2 linked regions of the Caenorhabditis elegans genome follow. The protein of the gene in region 1 purifies or fractionates together with the protein of each later gene. This does not show direct contact. Each region holds a gene or a part of one and is shown on either strand. Other genes may lie near its edges.

What was found. The genes of interacting proteins can lie anywhere in the genome.
Region 2: the proteins of F02E11.4 (region 1) and C05C9.3 fractionate together in Caenorhabditis elegans (co-fractionation; one large-scale study listed by BioGRID). This does not show direct contact.

The regions. Positions count from the first base shown.
Region 1 is NC_003280.10:3,274,376-3,281,608, forward strand, and holds F02E11.4 (Smr domain-containing protein), read right to left. Parts: upstream 3,412-7,233; 5' UTR 2,926-3,411; coding exon 2,848-2,925; intron 2,625-2,847; coding exon 2,438-2,624; intron 2,033-2,437; coding exon 1,881-2,032; 3' UTR 1,666-1,880; downstream 1-1,665. Other genes in the region: F02E11.3 (ORF56), read right to left, coding at 39-116, 576-620; wht-4 (ABC transporter domain-containing protein), read left to right, coding at 4,612-4,665, 4,710-4,824, 5,074-5,183, 5,230-5,358, 5,411-5,578, 5,622-5,969, 6,176-6,288, 6,338-6,578 and 2 more.
Region 2 is NC_003284.9:11,147,692-11,155,672, forward strand, and holds the start of C05C9.3 (ULP_PROTEASE domain-containing protein), read right to left. Parts: upstream 5,130-7,981; 5' UTR 5,122-5,129; coding exon 5,058-5,121; intron 4,471-5,057; coding exon 4,328-4,470; intron 2,533-4,327; coding exon 2,418-2,532; intron 2,376-2,417; coding exon 2,243-2,375; intron 2,203-2,242; coding exon 2,118-2,202; intron 1,941-2,117; coding exon 1,746-1,940; intron 1,539-1,745; coding exon 1,256-1,538; intron 1,211-1,255; coding exon 1-1,210. Other genes in the region: C05C9.2 (uncharacterized protein), read left to right, coding at 5,375-5,477, 5,527-5,586, 5,629-5,684.

The DNA of each region.
Region 1 (7,233 bases):
TTAGGATTTGAATTTAAAAGAACACAAAATCAGATTACCGGAATTTCCCCATGACCCATATGGTTAATGATCGGGGAGGCATGAGAAACTCGGCGGCGACGGAAGAAACGACGCATCTGAAAATTAGGTAATTAGGCGGTAGGTAGGCATGCATGAGGAAGGTGATAGGCAGAAATGTTGGTGAGAAGGCATATGAAAGCGGTGGGGAGGGGGGTTACAGGCATATAAGCGGTATCTCGGCCTGTACGCCTTACGAAAAGCGGTGCAGGTAGACATGAGGAAATTAGTAGGCATAACTGAAGGCAGGCGATAGGCAGGCACGCAGTTATTAGAGATGCGGTGAGCAGGTAGGCGTGAGAAAAAGGAAGGTAATAGGCAGAAATGTAGGCGTGCAGATGATCGGCATGATCGGCTCATTAGAGATGCGTTAAGCAGGTAGGCATGAGGAAGAAGGTATGCATGACATCAGGAAGATAAGCAAGTGTTAGGTAGGCAATAGGCAGGACATGAAGAGGCGCGTAGGCATGCATGTAGGCAGGCAGGCATGGGAGGCATCTGTAAGTTTCTAAAAATACCTGTGAAAAGAAGCGACGAAGACCATTGGAAATCGGCATTTTCATGCAGCAACCTTTGGCAATTTAGGCACCTGTAACATAAGGAATGTGTTCAGAAAAAGTAACTTTCTGAGGACGGCAAATAATAAAAGAAAAACAGGCCTCACAGTCCCATAAAACGATAACGAGGAGCAGGCAACACGCTCACCACACGAGAGAGTATTGATCCAGTGGAGGTGGCCGGCGGCTCGCCGGACGAATATTCTGGGGTGCGCGCGGGGCCCCACCACCGTACAGATGGGTGACAATGGGATGTGAGGGGGTCACTGATAGAGTGATAGAGAAGTAGAGATGGAAGGGGGGGGGGGTTGTATGGCGGCAACGTGTGAAAGTAACATTGCCCCTAGTTTCCTTAGCTCTCCGGCAAGTATAGAATGATGTCATTTTGGAGAGGGAAACCTATGGCAAATCGGCAAATCGGCAACAACTCAAGTAGGCAATTCCTAAGACCCTGAACTAGGACTTCCATGAAGGCGCAGAAATGTCTGCCGCGCCTGCCTTCGTCTGCCTCACCGCGCCTTCTGCATAGTACAGTGCCGAAAACTGCCGGTCGCTGCGTGGCCGAAACACCATTAAAAGCCAGAATGCAGAACTTAGGCGATGAGGCAGGTAAATGCTAGTGCCTGAAAGCGCGCCTGCCTACTATGAAAAAAAATGCCAAAAACAAAGCACCCTGCCGAATCCCATTAAAAAGTGTTGTAGGGGGAAATGCAAATAAATGTACCGCCTGGTAAAGGACGATTGGCAAGGAAAATTGATCAGGAAACAAGGGGAGCTTTTTTTTCTGAAAAATGTCGAAAATGTGACTCAGAATTTTGTTTACCAGGCCGCTTCATAAGAATTTAATATTTCGAACTTCAATTAGAGATGGGAAAACTTACATAACATTTCACTGGTATGAGGTTTTGAAAAATAGATAACTAGTAAAATGTTAAGCTGAAAATTTGGCACATTTTCTCAGTTGACTTTTTTTTTGAAAAAAATTTGTATCTGCGGAGATAAAAGAGTTTTAAAATAGTTAGTTTGATAGAAGCGAGAAGTTTTGAATCTTAAAATTAATTTATTAATACAAAAAATAGATTATTAAATAAACAAATACATAGTTAATAACAAAATTGCTTTAAAATTAGAAAAAAATCCGTTTGAAGTTGCGCTACCCCGGCTCCAAGTATGGCTCCAAGTCCAAAATGGCTCCACAATTTTCTGGGGTCTTGGCTTCTCCTCGGGGACTCCAACGCAGTGTGCTCAGTTGAAATTATAAAAAAATCACCAAAGACTCAAAATTAGGACTCCTGGATTCAACTTGTCTTCGAAAATTTTACATCTTGACCGGCAATTGAATGTCCTCAGCAACTTGTTCTTGATCACCGGAATGTTGTCCTTCGAGTGATTTCCTCTTCCGGTTTCCAGCTTGATTTCTGAAAATAATTTGGATTTGAAAAAGTAGTTGAAATCTACACATTTTAACGTATTTACTCAAAATATGTCAGCGCTCTAGCTCAGTTCCTACAACTTTTAAAAGACTCCGTATCACAGCCCCGTGATCTGAGTCGCTACTCTGCCAATTTCCAAAAATTGAGCTAAAGAGCTGCAAATATCGGAATAAAAACAAAAAAGCGTGGGGATTAGGAATCTTAATATAAAAATTCATGAAAATTAAAATGAAAACATTTTTGAACTAGAATTGTTTGAATTTTTCAGCATTTTCAAAAGAGAAAAGAGAAAGGTTTTTGAATATTTCAAACGTTTCAAATTTGGCGTTTTTTTTTTGGTAAATTTCCTAGATTTTAGCTGATTTTTTTAAACAAAAATTGCAAACTCACTTCCATAAAATTGCATATTCTCAACTATGCCTAACACAAAACGTACAGCCCCATTGGTTGTCATTCCGTGTAGATCATAGTAGTCTTTGACCCTCAATCCATTCCGATTCCAATCTATCACTTTTTCGTTGATCGTTCTCTTCAGCTTTCCTAGAGCTCCTCTTTCCTTCATTTTACCGCACAGTTCCTGAAAAAATTACAGTTTTGTGAAAGTTTAGGCCTAAAAAATGCGAGAATTTTTTTGAAAAGTTTAAAGAAATTTTGAAAAATGGGTTTTTTTCAGCGCAAATATTTCAGAAAAAATTTCCAAAGAAAAAATTTAGCTGTAAATTTTTTGTTGTAAAACACAATAAGGTTTTTTCCTAAGTTTAAAGCAATGTAATTCAAAATTTTCTTTTTAAAAAACTCACATAAAGTGCCTGAATCTCCGCGTGATGTTTGGCCTTCATTCTCAAAAACTCGGCACTTTTGAAAATTATTTGCTGCATGATTATCGGAAAATTGATGAAATTTATTTGAAAATTGATTATTGAGGAGGAAGAAGCAATTTATAAAAATTATTAAGTTAAATATTAAATAAAAATATTAAGTTATTATATTTCTGTTGATTAAAAAATTGTATTAACTTCAAAAAATGATCAGAACTTTGAAAATGTTAATCAAAAATTTAAATGATTTATCGAAATAAATTTTCAATTTTGAAATTTACTTTAAATGGCGATAAATTTTTTTATTTAATGACATGTTGAAAAATGCCAAAAATGAAAATAAGAACCCTCGAAAATATTCATTTCTGATGGTTTTGGGGGTTTTGCCAAAAGTTTCACTCTTTTTTTTTTTAGTTATTTTAATACCTAGGGGCAATTTTGAACATTTTTATATTTTAAAACAATATAGTAGCTAACTAAAAAACACCAAAACCAAAAAAAAAGAGCCTACAATAATGTAACCACCTCCTTCTAATCGACTAGATATATCCACATGTCCTGTAGCGTTCTACGTGTGTCGAGCACTGTTTCAGATCGATACCCCCACTTCTGTAAGTCAACGTCCGTTATTGTTTTGATTTACAACTCTCCCCCCCCCCCTTAGAGAAAGGAGGCTATGTTTTAGTGTGAAGATGGCCTCAACTGGAAGGGGGTCTCGAGCAAGATTTTTGAGCGGAAAGGCCGAATGGTATACTTGAAGAAAGCATACCGCTAACGTTCAGATGTACCAAGTTTTTTAGCGGAAGGGGTCTTAAAGGAGGAGTAGTGGGTGTAGAGGTAGTTACGGAGAAGTTTATACTTGTAGAGGTATCAAAAAGAAAACCGGGAAAATTTGAAAACGGAATAAAAAAATTATTGAAAAGTTACTTAAATTATTTATTCAATTTTCAAATTTGTATAATTTTTTTTTCAAATTTTTATTTTATTTAAATTATTTCAAATACCAGCGCAAATTTTTGTCGGCCTAGAATTTTTTGGGTGAAAAAGTAATTTAAGGAACAATGTTCAAGCTATTTTTCGTATGGAAAATTCCAGTTTTTTTTTGCGAATTCAGGGGGAAAAAAATGTTTAAAAAAAACCAAAAATTTATGAATTTTTAAAGAATTTTTGAAGATTTTTACTTCAGAAAAAAATCAATCTATTAATTGCTAAATTCACAAAGTAGCGATCTAGAAATGCGGTCTGATACATTTTTTTTTTTGAAGAATTGTGGTAATTTATTTGGTAAATAGCTGACTTCAAATTTTCAGGCCTATTTTGAAGACTACTTTTCAATATTTGAAATTTTAAAGCTACCCAAAAGCCAGCATTTGGATTTCTAAAAGTTTGAAATTTTCACAAAATTCGATTAAAACATTTCACTACATTTGCAGCTCTTTAGCTCAATTTTGATTTTTTTTTTTCGCAGAGTAACGACTCAAAGAATGGTAGCTGTGATACGGAGTTTTTTGAAAACCGTGAAAATTTAATTTGCAAACAATTTTGCAAATTAAAATACAAATAAAAATATCTTCATTCTTCACGTGAATTGTATCACAATATTCACAAAATTTCAAAGTTGAAAAAAAAATAAAATCCACGTCATTTCACTTCCCTCCCCTATCCAACTCATTCAAAAATTTATTTCCGATTTGTAAGAATTTCAAAAATTCTTCTCGAATATTTGTATTTGATTTCTGTGAAATAATGCAAAGTTTGACGACGGCTTCGATGCGAGATGCGACGAGTAAGAGTACGATGGTAAGCTAGCAGGTACAGTAACCCAAACTACGTTTTGTATTTAGATTACTGTAGACACTGGCGATGGTAGCGAGAAGGGAAGGAAGACTATTGCCTGGAGTGGGCTGGTGGCGACGGTTCCGCAAGCCGGTGGTGGCAGGAAGGAGGTGATCAGGAATGGTAAGAGTGTCTAGATGTCTTCGCTCTCTCAACATGCTGCACTGTTTCTCGAAGCAAGAACTTTCTCGAAATGTCGTGGCTTGGACACGTGGCGACAAGTAAACGCAGAGAAGCTAGAGTGTCTAGCTGTCTGCGCTCTCTCCACATGCTACGATGTCTCAGGATACTCTGTACTCTTTTGTGTAGACGCAGACAAGCCAGAGTGTCTCGCTGTCTGCGCTCTCCCCACCTCATCTTATCAAATTTCAGTTAGCGGTGTCGCGGAGCCCGGCGAAGTTCTCGCCTTGATGGGAGGGAGTGGTGCCGGTAAGACGACTCTGATGAATATCCTGGCCCATTTGGATACTAACGGAGTTGAGGTGAGCCCAGCTCCCCGAGCTACCTATCATTTTCTCGATTTTTCAGTACCTCGGCGACGTCACTGTCAATGGCAAGAAGATCACCAAGCAGAAAATGCGGCAAATGTGCGCCTACGTTCAGCAGGTTGACCTGTTCTGTGGAACCTTGACGGTCCGGGAGCAGCTGACTTATACGGTTGGTTAGAAGCTAGAAGAAGCTGTTAACTAGTCCTGAATATAATGTTCAGGCTCACATGAGAATGAAGAACGCGACAGTGCAGCAGAAGATGGAGAGAGTGGAGAATGTGCTGAGGGATATGAACCTGACTGATTGTCAGAATACCTTGATTGGCATTCCGAACCGTATGAAAGGGATTTCCATCGGAGAGAAGAAGCGTCTGGCGTTTGCTTGCGAGGTTTGCAGTGATCCAAAGTCCACCTACAACTTTCAACATACAGATCCTCACCGACCCGAAGATCCTGTTCTGCGACGAGCCCACCTCTGGACTCGACGCCTTCATGGCCTCCGAAGTTGTGCGCGCCCTGCTCGACCTGGCTAACAAGGGAAAAACGATCATCGTCGTGCTCCATCAACCGTCGAGTACCGTGTTCCGCATGTTCCACAAAGTTTGCTTCATGGCCACCGGGAAGACGGTCTACCATGGCGCCGTAGATCGACTGTGTCCGTTTTTCGATAAGCTTGGGCCAGATTTCCGTGTCCCCGAAAGCTATAATCCCGCGGATTTTGTGATGTCGGAGATTTCGATCAGTCCGGAGACCGAGCAGGAGGATGTCACGAGAATTGAGGTAACAATTAGGCTTAGGATTAGGCTTCGGCTTAGGCTTAGGCTTCGGCTTAGAATTAGGCTCAGGCTCCGGCTCAGGGTCACGGTCAGGTTCGGGGTCAGGCTTAGGCTTAGGCTTAGGCTTAAACGTAGGCTTGGGCTTTGTCTTAGGCTTAGGCTCAGGCTGAAACTTAGGCTTACAGCATTAACGAAATGAAAACTTTTCAGTACCTGATCCACGAATATCAGAACAGTGACATCGGTACCCAGATGCTCAAGAAGACAAGAACAGCCGTGGACGAATTTGGAGGATATGGTGACGATGAAGATGATGGGGAGAGGTTTGTTCTTCCTTACTCGTTTTTAAAGTTCTTAAGCTTAAAATTTCAGCCGCTACAACTCCACCTTCGGCACCCAGTTTGAGATCCTGCTCAAGCGATCACTGAGAACAACGTTCCGTGATCCACTGCTGCTTCGTGTTAGATTTGCGCAGATCTTGGCCACCGCAATCCTGGTTGGAATTGTGAATTGGCGCGTCGAGCTGAAAGGCCCCACGATTCAAAATTTGGAGGGTGTCATGTACAATTGTGCTCGCGACATGACTTTTTTGTTCTACTTCCCGTCGGTCAATGTAGGTTTTCTAAAATAAAGGTCCTAATCAAGATTCTTTCAGGTGATCACCTCAGAGCTCCCGGTCTTCCTTCGCGAGCACAAGTCGAACATTTACTCTGTGGAAGCTTATTTCCTTGCAAAAAGCCTTGCTGAACTCCCCCAATATACGATTCTCCCGATGATCTATGGCACGATTATATACTGGATGGCCGGACTGGTTGCCTCGGTGACCAGCTTCTTGGTTTTTGTATTCGTTTGTATCACGCTGACCTGGGTCGCTGTGTCGATTGGTAGCTAACTTCGCCTGAGCCTGAAAGCCTCATTTTTCATTTTTCAGCCTACGTTGGAGCTTGCATCTTTGGTGACGAAGGACTCGTGGTGACTTTCATGCCGATGTTCGTGCTTCCGATGCTCGTCTTTGGAGGATTCTACGTAAACGCCAACTCAATTCCTGTCTACTACCAATACGTTTCCTTCGTCTCCTGGTTCAAGCACGGATTCGAAGCTCTCGAAGCCAACCAGTGGAAGGAGATTGATAAGATTTCTGGCTGCGACCTAATCAATCCATTGAATGCGACAACAACTGGCTACTGCCCAGCATCCGATGGTCCTGGCATTTTGACACGTCGTGGAATTGATACTCCGTTGTATGCGAATGTTCTGATTCTCTTCAT
Region 2 (7,981 bases), on another chromosome or scaffold:
TGGTCTACATCATCCAACATGTTTCCATTTTCATCTTTGCTTCCTTTATTTGAAGTTTCATCACCTTCAGATTGTTCTTCGGATTTCCCAAAATTCTCAGAAATCACCTGACAGTTTTTTTTCGCGTCTTGTTTGTCTGGTGAGAATACTTGTGGTGCTTTGTTATTGTTTCTTGTAGATTCAGAATACCCATCATCATCACACGAAATCGTTCTCTGAGTTGGAATAGACCAGCATTCATCGCAAGACAATACTTCATTCAAGGATAATGGAGATTTATGCAGGTCACCTTCATCTATAACTTTCCCGATGTTTTCGGAACCAGGAGTCGGGCTTTTGATCTGTCCATATTTAATTGTTTCTTCACTCGAAGTTTCAAAAACGGGAAGATTTTGTTGTGGATGTTTCATGTCTATTTGAGATTCAATATCTATGTTTGTATCAGCTGAAATTTCCGTGGTCAGAACATTTTCCAGTTTGTTGTCATTTGTTTCTGATTCTCCGTCTGATTGCTCCGTCTTTTCGTTTTCATTGGAGACATAATTATTCTCGAGAGATTGCACAGTGCTTTGTAACATTGATTGAGTCGATGAATCGATGTCTTTCTGTGTTGCATCTTGGCACGGTATGGAGCTCATGGGCAAGTCATTATTTTGTCTTCCTTTAGTTGCGGCCAGTTCAGAATGCATATCGGTTAAAGAAGGTTGACTTTTCAATTCACAATTCACAATCCTTTCATTCTTCATCTCTGGACTGTTAAATGTTCCGTAACCTTCAAGTTGGCGTTGAGTGATTGTTTCGATTTCAGAAATTTCCATGTCATAGTCTTCGTTTTTCTTCCTGTTGTCGTTATGAATTGAATTCTGAGAAGATTCTAGCTCCAAATGACTGATTAGCTCTTCAGCTTCCTTGTGCTCAATAGTTGAGTTGCATGAAAACGCCCAAACATTGAGATCGCATTCTTCTTCATCTTCTGCACTTTGTCGTTTTGTGTTAGTTTTGTCCTCCTGGATGTTGCCAATATCATCATCGTCATCGATTACTACAACTTCTATTGAATTCGAAACGTTTTGTGCTTTACCACGAGTGATTATGACGTCGCGTTCCTCTTTAGCGGGACAACGAGTTTTTGGCTTTTTCCTCAAAGTCTCGTAAAGATCTTCGATCTTAGGTAGAGTTCTTTTTTCTGCGGCTTTTCGGATTTTTGGATCTGAAAATATGTGTTGTTCGGCATTAAAGTCAGTCAACTACTCACTTTTAACCATATCCCGAAAAAAATTCGCGCAAGCTACAAGGAGGAGATGTTTATGTGGGAAGCATCCCCAACAGAGGAAACCTGATGGCGATTTGTAGATGAAGTGTTCTTGAATGTGCATAAAAATTCCCATGTTGTTTTTGCAAATGCAACTTAACGTGTTTGTTGACATTGATTCCACTTCCCAATAATACTGATCCCACTTTTTGAAATGCTTTTTTCCAATACATGGCAATATAATTTGCGGAAAATGATACAGCAGTACAATCGCCCTTTCAGAGTCCTGTAAATTCATAAAACATGAGTGTGTGGGTTATTTGCTTTGACTACAATTGGCTCTAAACGACCGAAATTAAGCTATAGTCTAAATTTTTTTTAAAGCTTTTCATTCTGTCCGAAATTTAATCTTCAAAAAAATAATAAACCTAGTCATTACAGGATTTTTCCTTGTTATGTACGACAATCGAAACATCAGTATTTTATTACTCACAAATGATGCGTAGTCCTCTTCTTCAACAAGCAATGGTTCAATTGTAGCTTTGGAAAGTGGATAATCACGTTCAGGAACTATATGCTTTTTGATGATAAATGGCTTAAAAGCTGCATCGACTCCGTAATAACAATCTTCGCGTGATTTTGTCCATGAGTATCTCGATAGTGCCAGTTTGTTGTTTCGACCAAAATGCTGAATGTTCTCAGCTCGGGAAATTCTCACATTTTTTATGTATTTATGAAAGTGTGTAAAAAGCTAGATCTAAATCAAAATTTTGTACTGGCGTTTAAATGTGATTCAGTATTCTGAGACTTACTTTAGGTTTTATTTACAGTGTGTTACATTTACTCCATTAAAAGAAATACTTACCGGGCGCCCCATATTCAACAACCTTAATAACGTTTTAATCCGAATAACGCCACTTATTGAAGGGGAAAACAGTTTCGTTGCATATCTGGAAACTATACACGTTTTTAAAATAACCCAATGATTACCGAAATAAAGTTGATGCTAAAACATGCGTCTCATCTCCCAACGTGAAAAGAGGGATTAAGTCCCAAAATGTTTCTTGTGGATGGTCAAAGTATACACCAAGTTTTGCAATTACAGATTTGAATTTCCTATCGTCTGCAAAATGGATTTAGCCGAGTTTTGAAACATTTTGTTTACCTGCAGATTGTATCATAGAAAAGAATTGGCGAGAAGTCATTGTACAAAATTCCGGAATCATTGTAAGATTGTAGAAGCATTCAGGGGTGTCGACTGGGAGCTCATTTTTGTTTAACTGAAAATTCTTCTACTTTCGAATATTCTAGATCTGGTATAAAAAGTAAGAGCCTAGTTGGATTTGTAATGATAGAAGAACTAACTTTTTTAGTGCCATAAACTTCCAGTTCAATCAAAAAAACTGACCTTCAGACAGAATGGCCCTTTTTTTTGGAGATTTGTTTGATTATCATAACTTTCAGAATTTAAATGCAAAATTTTTCTAAGTGCCAAAAGCTTCCAGTTCAATCATAAAAACTGACCTTCAGACATATAAATGACCTCTTTTTTTTTGGGAGATTTACAAAGTTTTCATGATTCTAAAAATCAATATCTGACTTGAAATGAACTTTTTTGGAAATGTTTCTTCGGGGACTTGTTTGAAATTTTTAGCGTTTTTCAGAATTTAAATGCAAATTTTTTCTAGGTGCCAAAAGCTTCCAGTTCAATCAAAAAAATTGACCTTTCAGGCATATAAATGACCCCTTTTTTTTGGGAGATTTACTAAGTATTCATGATTCTAAAAATCAATATCTTACTTGAAATGAACTTTTTTGGAAATGTTTCTTCGGGGACTTGTTTGAAATTTTTAGCGTTTTTCAGAATTTAAATGCAAATTTTTTCTAGGTGCCAAAAGCTTCCAGTTCAATCAAAAAAATTGACCTTTCAGGCATATAAATGACCCCTTTTTTATACTGAGATTTATTTAGTTTTCATAATTTTAAAATTAATATCTCCCCACTAACCATTCACCAATAACCCTTCATAAGCCAAAACTCCGCAGACTACAAAGACTACATAGACTACAAACTATGGACAGACGAACTGTATTTTTTATATATAAGTCTCCCTTTTTTTTGGAGATTTGTTTAATTATCATAACTTTTAAAATTAATATCTTACTTAAAATGAACTTTTTTGAAAAAAAAATGATTGTTGGTCGCTAAAAACAAAAAACTATTTTATTTTAATAAAATAAATACATTTGTTCTTCTAATGAAAAACCTATATTTCTTCATTTTTATTTTTAGAAAAGTTTCAAAAGTTTACGAAGGAGATGATTATTTCTGGGTATTTCTCAAAGAATTTGGTAAACATTTTTTCACAACAAGGGCGCTTGAGAATTGAAGATTTTGTTAATTGCTGTAACTTAACAATGTTTTACTTTTTTTTTTTTTGGCTATGTTAGTGCGATAATAATATAGCTTCAAAACGCCCGCAAAAACTTAACGTGCTGAATTTCTCATCAATGCAAAAACTCGTTGTTTACTCGTTGTCATTGTTAAATATTTAACTCATTCATGTCCGGAATTATAACATTTTTGAATTTTGCATGATTAATAATTTTTGATGCTTAAAGTTTGAATTTCAAAGAAATTATTCAGCAATCTTTAAGAATCACTTTTGCTAGTCACGTTCTATCCGTTTTTCTCTGTTATGCATTATGTATAGTCTTCTTTTGAACTAAATCTTCAATTTCGAGAATCTTTGTTGCTAATCCATCCTTTGAAAGGTTTCTCTTCAGCTATAATTACATCACCCTCTTCTTTCTATCATTATCTTTCACTTCATCTCCTACTCTCCTTTCGAAATATTTCTATACCAATTCTTAGGCTCCAGGCAACAAATACTCAGCAGTCGTTGGTTGAGAGAAAACTAACATGTGCATTATTTTTCAAAATGAAGTCTAGCATTATATGTTTTTAATGAAGCCGCAACGCTGCCTACAACCCTACTTTTTATTATCCAAAAAATTAAAAATTTATGTTAAGCAGTACTTTTCTCATGTTCTATACTGTGTACAAAAAATTCACCTGCACTGGATCCGACAAATAATCGATTCGGTCATGATACTCATCTTGGTCCAAAAAGTTTAATAATCTGCCCAGCTTTTCTATTTGTTCAGGAGACTTAAGCGTTTTTGCTTTATCCAGATACCACTTGCTTTGTATACACTCTATAAAATTAAAAATTGAAACGTTTTCAAACTCAAAGTTCAAAGTTTCAGAGTACTTTTTTTTCAAAGACAATTTAAAATATATCCACTTGTTCATCCATCTTTTTCATCTTTTGTATTTTTCTCTTTTTTTCCTTTTTTTTCAAGTAAACATGATTTTTTTTTGAATAATTTTCAATCACTGTATACGATGTTGAAGAACTAGGTTAGTTTCCAAAAAATACTACTGAGCTCAGCCGAGAGGATTCGTTAAATAATTAATGTACTGTGCGAATAGAATTTTAGAATCAAATCTTTAGAAAACAAATGTTCGAAATATAATAATTAGATTTGAATGAGATTTGGTTCAAATTTATTACATTTTTAAATCATGTTGGACAAAGAAAATTTGCCAAACCTAGCTAAATCTCGGGACACTAATAAATGTTTAAAATGATTCATTAAATACTATTCTAAAACTTTTTGGAAACCATCGAAAAATGATATTTACTTATATTTTTTAAGAGAAAAAAAACATTTCAGCAAAAGGGTTCAATTGTTTTACAAAGTAGTTTACTTTTTCTTTTTTGTAGGAATTAATAACGTACTGTCATAAAGAGTCAAACGATGATTTTCTTCGTTGTCTGAAGTTGAAGTTTCGAGGTCCTCCATTTTCGAAACTATAATTATTAAATTAATGTCAAATTTCAAATGACAGCAGAACAATTAAGTGGTACGTTGGTTACCGTTATAAGTAAACATAAAAAAATCACACGTATCTAGAAAAGGTTACACTGTTGCCCTTAGTTACCCGTGACGATGCCTTCACACTTTTATTTATCACACCCTCTTTTTTTTTTGCGTTTTTGGTCACTCTTGCTTTCGGTGCGAGCATCATTTATGACTTCACTCTCTTTTTTTCAGCATGTATCGCGAAATGCTTCATCAGGGAATTCAGTTATACTGCGAGATTTGGCCGTGCGATCGAGAATGTGGAAAGTTTCACGAAAGGTTCATAAACACAACAAGTAAGATCAAAATAATTTGCGAGTTTCTGAATTTAATAACAAAATTGAGAATTGAGAAGAATGAAAACAATGTCAGAATCAGTGGATCATCAAATACCAATGACAAATGGTGAGTGAGAAAAAACACAACGAAAAATTATTATTCTTTAAGGAAAATCGAAAACAAAAGGAGTTTTCGAGGAAATAATGGAGATGGCAGCAAGAAAGGTGAATATTTTTACATATTTCAAATTATTGAGAATCTTGAATTAGAAATGGTCATCAAATAAAATATTTTCTGTGTGAGACATATCAGAAAAATCCTGCATCAGGTCAACTTGAACTTGGCAATTAAACTGAAGCTTCTAGGTTTTTTAATAATAATTTTTTCAAACTGAATTGGAACGATAATTTTGATGAAATTAGAAAAATAAAGTAAAATTATATATACATATAAAAAAAATACATAGAAAATTTTTTTATTTTTCAAACACGCGTATTCAAAGAATTTCTCAAAATGATTTCCAGAAGTTTCAAAAAATTATGACTCGGATTTCTGTACTGACGTCGCACAATAAGATTCGTGTGACGTCACTTTTTAAAAAGATTAATAAATATATACACCGATGTTTTTTTTAAACGGTATCTTATTTGAAAACTGGGAGGTTAACTAATTCAGGGTCTGACAATTACACACAATATTTCAATTTTCCGCAAAATTTTGTTAGACGTTCCTCTGGCTAGGTTTTCCCCGTAATCAAAAAATTAACCATCAAAACAAATTATAATAATTCTACGATTTTGTCTAGCAAAGTTTTGATGCGCAAGTCGTAGAAACCGGTAAAGATCCCTATCTTCGCGCCTACAATCAATGTGCAACACTTCGAAAAACTTCCAGTTTCCCAGAAGATAAAAATTCGTTATTGGTTTGCAGTAAAGTATTTTGTGCCTGGATAGAAGCTACTTTGTTTGATCTTTCTGATTTTTCTCATTAATCAGTTACGTTACGTTAGTTTATGGTCGCTGGTTCTCAGACTTTCTGTCTCTACAAAACGCTGAAACAATATTTTTTGCCACTTTGCACATTTTTGTTGTTAGTATTTTTTGAATTTGATAAGAGGATTTCAAGCAAGTGCTCTTTCCAAGGATTTATAAAAGAGAGTGTGTAGAGAACAGAATAAGCAAAGAGGTTTACGCAATATAATGAAAAAGTATCGCGGCTTTCGTACTTAACTAATAGTCATTCATGATAGAATTTGTGCAAGGTATGTAAAAGATCGATAAGATAAAACGTGAGAAAAAACTCAAAAGTAACCTATGGACAGAAAACGTCAGGTTCTCCCTTTTTTGTTGCACAAATCACAAAATTCAAAAAAGTTGTTTTTTGTCCTTCATTGGATGAGTGAGCTACTGTATACATTAGAAACTTATTATCAAAAGGCAATAAAATTATGCAAGAGGTTATATTTGCACGGTTATAGAAAATTTCCTGTTAGCAACTCGGAGGGCAAAAAATAATATATACACACAATTTTTACGACTTACGAACACGAGGCCGGAATTTAAATACGTGTAGAAGATCTACAGCAACACAGCAGCTAATCTTACTCTCACTCGTAACTATCAGTAGAGCATTCTGCTGTCAATTGGGCTCCAACAGCGCCACAGTCAGAAGAGGGGAAGGGTAGAAGACCGGCGACCAGGGCAATGGCTGCGACGGCGGTCGCGCTCGGAGCCAAGACGAGAATATGAAGGAAGGAGCCTGTTGTGAGGTGTATGTGAAAGAAGGAAGGAGGCGGGCAACATCCTACCGGTGGTCGGTAGGAGTGATTGTATGACGTTGGAAAACCAAAATAAAGAAGAAGAAATGCCAAAGAGGGTTGTTCGATAATACTGGAAACTTGTGATATTGTGATAACGATGGAAGCTTTGATAAACAGTGGCTCGATCTAGCATGAGCAGCATGAGCAGAAGACAATGAAACCAATTCCTTATCGTTTTCAATAGAGGCAGAGAAGAAACCTTTGATGATATAGATGCACACATTCTTGCGTAGAGTTTCTACGGTATGATACTTCAATCTTCAAATGTTCGTACACCTCTGTACCAATTTAATACGTGTTTAGAATGAGAACGTTTCAAGGTAGGGCTGGAGAAATAAAGGAGTCTCACTGCTGTTCTCAAAAATCGCCCCTTCTTTTCGACATTGAAACATATTAATGCAACGAATATATATTCCCCATGTTATTTCTTATAATGTGGTTTCCGTTTCATAGTTTCCCATCTTTCCCCTTTTTCAATCTGTGTGCATGTTGAGGAGAACAACAGAAAGAGCGACACACGGAAATCAATGCGATGCAGCCATCCCTTTTTTGACCAGAGGAGTACGCGATGAGGGGAAACGGGACAGCGCGCCCGTGTTAAATTAGAAGTTGCGAGGAGCTATGAAGTTGACAACGCCAGCGCCATAGACCGAAACGTCTATAATTTCTGATTGGATAGCCAACGTGAAGAAGAGGGATAGT